Linked DNA regions of Macaca mulatta. The protein of the gene in region 1 interacts with the protein of each later gene in a pairwise test. Links are inferred from orthologs where the notes say so. Each region holds a gene or a part of one and is shown on either strand. Other genes may lie near its edges.

What was found.
Region 2: the proteins of RABAC1 (region 1) and SYT16 interact in binary tests that used the Homo sapiens proteins (3 or more experiments, as listed by UniProt). The link is inferred for Macaca mulatta from reciprocal best matches to the Homo sapiens genes RABAC1 and SYT16.

Annotation. Positions count from the first base shown.
Region 1 is NC_133424.1:52,998,062-53,002,117, forward strand, and holds RABAC1 (prenylated Rab acceptor protein 1), read right to left. Parts: upstream 2,801-4,056; 5' UTR 2,735-2,800; coding exon 2,679-2,734; intron 2,398-2,678; coding exon 2,185-2,397; intron 1,789-2,184; coding exon 1,691-1,788; intron 559-1,690; coding exon 457-558; intron 374-456; coding exon 285-373; 3' UTR 136-284; downstream 1-135. UniProt on the Homo sapiens protein: General Rab protein regulator required for vesicle formation from the Golgi complex. May control vesicle docking and fusion by mediating the action of Rab GTPases to the SNARE complexes.
Region 2 is NC_133412.1:135,022,034-135,026,012, reverse strand, and holds the start of SYT16 (synaptotagmin-16), read right to left. Parts: upstream 2,803-3,979; 5' UTR 2,591-2,802; coding exon of another isoform or gene 2,464-2,590; intron 1-2,463. UniProt on the Homo sapiens protein: May be involved in the trafficking and exocytosis of secretory vesicles in non-neuronal tissues. Is Ca(2+)-independent.

The DNA.
Region 1 (4,056 bases):
CATTAATATTTTACCTGTTTACCTTATCATCTTGCCCACACCCCAGGTTCCACCCCAACCCTGATCTGCACAGTATTCCCAGCTGCACCCATAGAGACCCACAGAAGATGCTAGGGGAGTATTTCCTGAATGACACCCGTAACAGCTTTATTTTCAAAGGCGGGATCCCTCCCCGGGCTTGTGATGGGACGGCGCTATGGGCCCGAGCAGCAGAGCTGTGCAGGACAGGAGTAGGCAGGGGCGGGGCAGCTGGCCCGGGAGGCTGGCAGGTCCCAGAAGACACCTCACACGGGTTCCATCTGCAGCTCCTCCCCGTCCACAGCCTCAATCTGGTGGAAGGCAGCATGGGAGCCGATGACCACCAGGGTGGCTCCTGCAGGAAAGCCGGCAGCTCAGGGCCATGCTCCTGTACCTGGCCCCCACCATCCACCCCAGCTGCTCAGACCCTGTACTCACCCAGCACCCAGAAGACGGCCGAGCCCGCACCAGCCAGCCAGAAGAAGGGGAAGGAGATGCCTCCAGCCAGAGCGTACTGATGCGCTGGGCTCACCTCTCGGCCTGAAAGCAGATGGCATTGGGGCGCTGTTCCGACCCTTCATGCCCTCTCCCAGAGTAACCCCTGCTGCCCCCCAACAATCTGTATAAGCTTCAGGTCCTCGGGATCAAATCCAAACTCCTCATGCCAAGGCCCTCCAGGTCCTGGGGTCACCCTGCTCCCCTGGTGTCCTCACTGCCCTCCAGAACACAGCACACCGTCCTCGCCTGCCTCAGCCCCACGCTCTGCCCTCTGCCCCACATCCTCCAGGAAGTTCCTGGGATCCCAGCTTCCTGCTCCCTAGACTAGGGCTCTCCTGCTGCAACCCTCACGCAGACCAGGGGTCTCAAACTGGTGGCCCAAGGGCCAAATCTGACCTGTGGATGTGTGTTTGTTTTGAGATGTTTTACAAGGATGTGATTTGTGGCTGGCAAAGTGAATGATTTCACATAAAAATACCAACTTCAGGCTTCTCATAGAAGTCTCAGGGATGGGGTCTGCATGCTCTGGTGCCTGTGCTGCAGGCGCTCCCTCCCCCTAAGCCCGTCATGCACATAACTTGCAGGCCCCTGAAGAGCCTGGCCTTCAGGTCTACCTGACAGCCCAATCCCAACTCCTTGACCCCACTCCAAACCTTGATTTTCCCCTGGGGGGAATTTCCCCTGGCATTTTGTTCTCCCAGTGGTCCTTGGTACTAGTCTGGGAACCACATGAAACACACTCCTCAGCTTCCCCAAGTTCCAAGTTCTTTCTGGTCACATCCCAGAAAGCAGGAAAAGAAACGGGAACAGATCTAGGCCAGTGTAAGTTCGCCACCTGGTGTCCAGTGTGGGCACCTGCAGCTGATGCTTGCCGCAGAAAGCGGCAAGGGGAGGAGAGAGGGGAGGAGTCATGTGGTTTGAAGAGGAGTAGGTTTAAGGCACAGCAGCCAGGTGGAGCCTAGGTTTGAGGAATAGCAATTTGAGGGGGCTGAGACTCGATGGGAGCATCGGTTGTGTCTGAGATTTTTAAAGGATCAGGTTTGGGAGATCTAGTGTTCATCTAGGCTTCGGCGGACTTGGGTTTTGAAGGACTTGGATTTGGGGTCTGAGGTTTGCATTCCAAAAGACCAAGATTCGAGGGACCAAGGATTCATCTGGGCAGGGGGTTTCTCACCAAAAAGCACAAGCTTGGACTGCAAGGTGCGCAGATAGAGAATGTAACAGGCGCCGAAAAAGACAGCCAGAGCCACCAGCAACATAGGGGACGTCACCCTGGAGGAGGAGTGCAGGGAGGCAGCGGTTAGGCAGCTGGGGCTGGTCAGCCAGGGAGCCCTGGCCTTCTCCACCGGCGGGAGGCAAGCTACATTCTGGAGACCAGGGAGGGCCAGGTGACATTCAGTCACACTGCATCCTGGCCAGGGTGATGGTGGGGTAGGGACCTGGCCCTTTGGTGACAAAGTAGGTCTAGCAGAGCCAATCCTTGGGGGCGGGGCCGGCCTAGGCGGTGAGAGGAGGGGCCTGGGCGGTGAGGGGAGGGGCCTGGGCGGTAGGAGGGGGCCCTGGGTGGTGAGAGGAGGGCCCGGGCGCTGAAGGGCGGGGCCTGAGCTGTGAGAGGAGGGGTCCACCCGGTCGGGGCTAGTGCGGGTGCAGGGCCCGGGATGCACTCACACGCAGTACAGGATGAGGCCCAGGAACACGAACACATAGTTGCTCTGGTAGTACTCCACGTTGCGTACGAGGCGCTGGCACAGCTCGCCCAGGTTGCGGGGCCGTGAGAAACGCTGCTGGTCCACGAAGGTGCCCCACGGCCGGATAGTCGCGCGGCGCCGCTCCAGCCACTCCCGGCCTGCACCGGAGGGAATCAGCTTCGGCAGCAGGGTCCTGCGAGGGGTGGGGCCGGGTCAGTGGTGGACCGGGATGGAGCCTCAGACCCCCGCAAAAGAAGGGGTTTAAGGGGGCTTGGACTCCCTCCCGGGACCCCAGATTACTGAATCACAGGCGGGGAGGGGGGTAGGGGCCCAGACGCCAGGGTCCCATTAGAGGAGACCGGGGCCAGCGCTTGTGCGTCTCGGGGCTGGGACTCCGGGCACTCGAGGGAGGAGGGGGCCAGGGTCCCGGACTCCCGGGCCTCGGGTCCGAGGGCCTAGAGCCGGCTCGCTCACGTGGCGCTCAGCCCTTCCGCCTCGACATCTTTCTGCTGGTCCTTCTGGGCTGCCATGTCTGCGTCGTGAGGGGTAGAGCTGCTGTAACCAGCCCGGTACCCTGCAGACCCCGCCGGCCCCGCCCGAGGCCGGCCCCACCCAGCGGAGTCGACGTGGCGCCGCTCGGGAGCAGCTGGGGACTGTAGTTCTGCCGCCGATCATTGTGGGAGTTGTAGTCCTGACGGTGGCTGGGAGGGTGGGCGCCATGATGGCGGTCTGACTCGCAAGACACCTTGGGAGATATAATCCCAGAAAGTGACGGCGCGCACCTCTGGGCATTGTGGGACCTGTAGTTTCAGGAGGGTGCAGGTGCGCTGTCAGGAAAGAGGGCGTTATGGGAGCTCTAATGGCAGAAGAGGGTGTTGTGTACTCTCCCAGGCAGGGCACAATGGGGACCGTGCAGAGCTGTCGTTCTGACTCTAGAGGGCATAAAAAAACAACTAGAGGGCTTGCTAAAACAGACTCCTGGGCCCCACCCCAGATGTTCTCATTCAGCAAGTCTGGGGTGGAGCCCATAATTCGCATTTCTGAGTTCCCAGGTGATGCTGATGCCGCTGGTCCATGGACCACATTTTGAGTAGAAAGATTTAGAGAGTTTGTGGGAATTGATTCCTTCCTCAAGAGATTGAGGCTAGTGAGTGGGTCATGGTTGCTGGAGGGGTATCTGAGGTTGCCCCCTGCCCCACTTTGTGGAGTCCCAAAGATGAATGAGTTGGGACTAGGGACACCTCCGCACCGCCACCACCCCCCCCCCCACCTGCAAACACACACACCTTTGGACAGGAGGGAGTGAAATTGGGAAAGAGAAAAGGTTGGGAAGTTTTGTGGGTTTTTCTGGGATGGAGTCTCACTCTTGTTGCCCAGGCTGGAGTACAATGGCACAATCTCAGCTCACTGCAACCTCTGCCTCCTGAGTTCAAGCGATTTTCCTGCCTCAGCCTCCCAACTAGCTGGGATTACAGGCGTGCACCACTATGCCCAGCTAATTTTTTGTATTTTTAGTAAAGACGGGGTTTCACCATGTTGGCTAGGTTGGTCTCGAACTCCTGACCTTGGGATTCGTCCACCTCAGCCTCCCAATGTGCTGGGATTACAGGCATGAGCCACTGTGCCTGGCCCCAAGTGACTCTTTTAGGCCCAGGTCTTGTCTTCCAAGATCTACGGCACTTCAGGGTTTGTGCTTGGAAGCCTGCTGGAAGGCGTTCCCAGGAGGTGGGGGGAAGATGGCCCTGTCCAAGGGGCTGGTGGCGCAATAGGCAGGGAAGCCCTTTGCAAGGGCCCCACACTGAAGATGGAAGAGTTACACTTTGAAGATCAGATTGGCTAGTTACTATTTATT
Region 2 (3,979 bases), on another chromosome or scaffold:
TAAAAAAAAGGAGACAGCATACATTTTGCAGAAATTATTAATATGTCATATTCGAAAAAAATAACGGAGTTGGAGGGCATATATTTATATGGATATGAATGACAGCAAGTAAAAGTAGAAATAGCTACCATAATGGAAACATACTTGTCAAATTTGGAACAGACAGCTTCTGTTCCGTAAGACTAACCTTTAAATGAACGCAAACAGAAACTGAGGACTCACTCAAATTGTACAACAGCCTCTGTATTAAAAAGCAACAAAACCAGTGTGATGCATGGTTTGGCATGGAGCATGACTACGGACAAGGCACATCAGAGAAGGCACAGCTTAGAAGAGAAAAACACAGGGACAGAAAGACCAAGGACGTCGCTAAGTGCTGCCAGAGCCATTCTTGATTAAAGCCTCCACAAATATTCAGTAAAGAAAAATTCTTAGCTAACTCGGGCCATTACAAGCTATATTACATATAATTTGCTTCCAGTTTTACAGTAGTGTGGTACATTGAATGGTAGACCCAGAAAGACATCTCCACATCCTAACACTCATCATCTGTGACTACGAGCTTACTTGGGCAAAGGGGGTCTTTGGATATGTAATTAGGTTAAGCAGCTTGAGATAACATTGTCCCAATGAGTCCCAAATCCAGTGACAAGTATCCTTCCAAGAGTCACACGGAAAAGACACACAGGAAGGAGAGAGGAAGACCATGTGAAGATGGAAGTAGAGACTGAAGTTATGTAGCCACAAGCCAAAACACAACTGGAGCCATCAGGGGAGATAAACAAAGATTCGCTCCCCGGTGCCTTCAGAGGGAGCATGGCCCTGCCAACACCTTAATTTCAGACTCAACTCTAGAACTGTGAAAGAACACATTTCTGTTGTTCTAAACCACCAAGTTGGTGGTAATTTGTTATGATGGCCACAGAAAAAAAGTAGTATATGCACTATATACGATGGAATAGTATCTCTTATGGAGTTTTAAAATAAGAACATAAAGTAAAAGTTGCATGTAGTCTAAAGTACCTTGAAAATCCCCTCTGTCACTCTGAAAGTACTCACAAAAATATCCATTATGGTTCATTTTGACTTTGTGCTTAAAATGAATTGATGGGGCCAGGCACGGTGGCTCACACCTGTAATCCCAGCACTTTGGGAGGCTGGGAGTTCAAGACCAGCCTAGACAATATAGGGAGACCCCCATCTGTACAAAAAATTAAAAAGTTGGCCAGGTGTAGTAGCATGTGCGTGTGGTTCCAGCTCCTTGAGAAGCTGGGGTGGAAGGATCACCTGAGCCCAGGAGTTCAAGGTTGCAGTGAACCATTATCACACCACTGCACTCCATCCTGGGTGATAGAGCAAGACTGTCAAAGAGAAGAAACAAAAGAAAGGAAGAAAGAAAGAAATGGATTGCTGCTTTTTGGTTGAGCCACAGTCACCAGATGTAGAAGCTAGCTTGCATTTCAGGAACACTTACCAAAAACTCCTGTATCTCTCAGTATTAGATTTTCAATCAGAAAAAGATGTTCATCACCTGAAGGCAACATGGAGCTCAGACTACCAAGAAAGCAATACAATCAGACCTTTCTTCCAACCCTGCTCAGTTTGGAGCAAATGTTCATCAAGAAAAATTAGAAAACAAAACTGTCCACTTATTAAAATTGTGCTCTCCATTTTATTTCAAATTAAATGAACCCCATTAAGTTAGATGTCCATCTAATTCCTATTCCCAATGTGATATAATCGAGTGTTTTCTCATTTTATGGAACCTAAAAAAATACCTGAAATGACTTTAAAAAAACAAACACAGGCCTTTCCACAGAATATTCTGATATAATAGGTCTAGGAAAGTCTGAGAATCTGTATTTCTAATGAATGGCAGATAATTCTTATGATCAGACAAATGTGTGAATCACTGACTGAGTCCATGCCATATGTTTGATTCTCTTCAATCTGGCTTATTGTCTTTTAAGTCTCAAAGGAACACTTTGTGAGTTCACCAAGCAACTAAACCTGGTACACCTAAATCAACTTTGCAGTTAGCACACTGGTGGAAAAACTGAGAAAAGGGGAAAGACAGGTAAACAGCAGCCTTTAAAGGTCAAAGGCTGGTCTTGTCCTACAGGGGTGGCTCACCACGTACTCAGGTGAGGACTGTGAAGTATAGTATTAAATGATCAACAGGCTCTTAAAGTTGCAAGAGCACGGCTGCATACACACCTCCACCTAAACACACACAAAAAGTCTCTCATGCTCTGTCTTCTTTGCATATGGTCCTAAAGATCCTGCGGCACCTGAATCTCTTTGTAGGAGCATGACATAAGCTCACTTTATTCAAGTGATATTTCTAAGAGTTAAGAAAAAATTGTGGAGAAAGGATATTGTGGTAGCCAGTCAGCCTTTAGGATGCACCCCGCTGGGGTTCACATCCTTCTGCATTCTCTCCCCATATTGTGCCAGGGTTACCTGTGTGATTCGTAGGATACGGAAAAATTGATGGCATGTCATTTCCGAGGTAGGCCATAAGGAATACTGTGGCTTCTGCCCTACTCTCTCTTCTGGATCCCACACTCTGAGGAGATGTAGCAGCCATATTATGAGCAGCCCTGTGGAGAGGCCCACACGGTGAGCAACTGTGGCCTCCAGCCAACAGCCATGTGTGTGAGTCTGCTTGCAAGTGGATCCTCCGACGCCAGTGGAGGGTCTAACTGCAGCCTCAGACAGACCCTGAGCCAGAATCACTCAGCCAAGTCACTCCCAAATGCCTGATGCCAAAACCTGTGAAATAATAAAAGTTATTTTAAGCTGCCAACTTGTGGGATAATTTGTTACATGGCAAAAAGATAATTAATGCAGATTTCATTTATTAATGAAGTACATTTTCATTGGCAATAATCACTCATAAGAACGTCATCTCTAGTTAATATACACGTCTCACTCAGGAAACACAAGCAGGTGTTTTACTGAAAACACTCAAAGCAACCATAACCAAGAATAAAATGATCAAATATTTAAAAGCTATTTGCATGATGCACTTGAACTCAAGTTTCGATGAACCAAGCAGCTATTGAAGGAACTAAATCACTCTGCTCAGCTCACCTTGCCTTTAGAGCAGTTCTTTTAGTTGTAATGACAAAGGGAGCTTGTCTCTGCCTCGACTAGGCTTTTGGAGCAGAAATTCCAGGTATTTTTTATAGCCATCATAACTTCTAGCACAGGGTATGAATAATAGGCATTTAAAACAGTAATTTACCTGTAAGATGATTTCTAATTTTTAGAATATGAGCTCTGTGAGACCCAAAGTGCTGTGTGTCTCATTTACCATTGTGTCCTCAGAGCCTTGTGGAGCTCCTGGTGCATCATGGACAGAGAGTACAAGTACTGGGAGGGAGGGAGGGAGGGAGGGATAGAGGGATCGACCGAGGGAGGGATGGATGTATAGATAGATGGAAGGAAGGAAGGAAGGAAGGAAGGAAGGAAGGAAGGAAGGAAGGAAGGAAGGAAGGAAGGAAAGAAGGAAGGAAAGATGGATCAATGGCTGGAAGGATGGACGGAAGGATGAAAGGAAGGAAGGACAGAAGGAAGGAAGGAAGGAAGGAAAGAAGGAAGGAAGGAAGGAAGGAAGGGAAGGAAGGAAGGAAGGAATATTTTTAGTTATTTAGTGTAGCTGTTTATTTATATCATTTTAGAATTTTCACATCGGAGCTAGGAGCAAGAAGAAACTAAAACTGCATACTCTAGTGCTTAGGAAAGTACTGAACATATAGGAGATGATTTACAAATATTTGCTTCAGGCCATGAAAATAAGAGAAGGAAAACTATACTAAAAAAAGCTGAAGAGCGAGAAAAGAATCTGAAATGCTAAATCAGTGAAAAATCCTTTTTAGCCAATATGCTACAAACAGTACAGAGCCCTAACAAGAATATTCGTATTTACTCAGAAGGCTGAGATGGGAGGAACGCTTGAACCCAGGCATTCGAG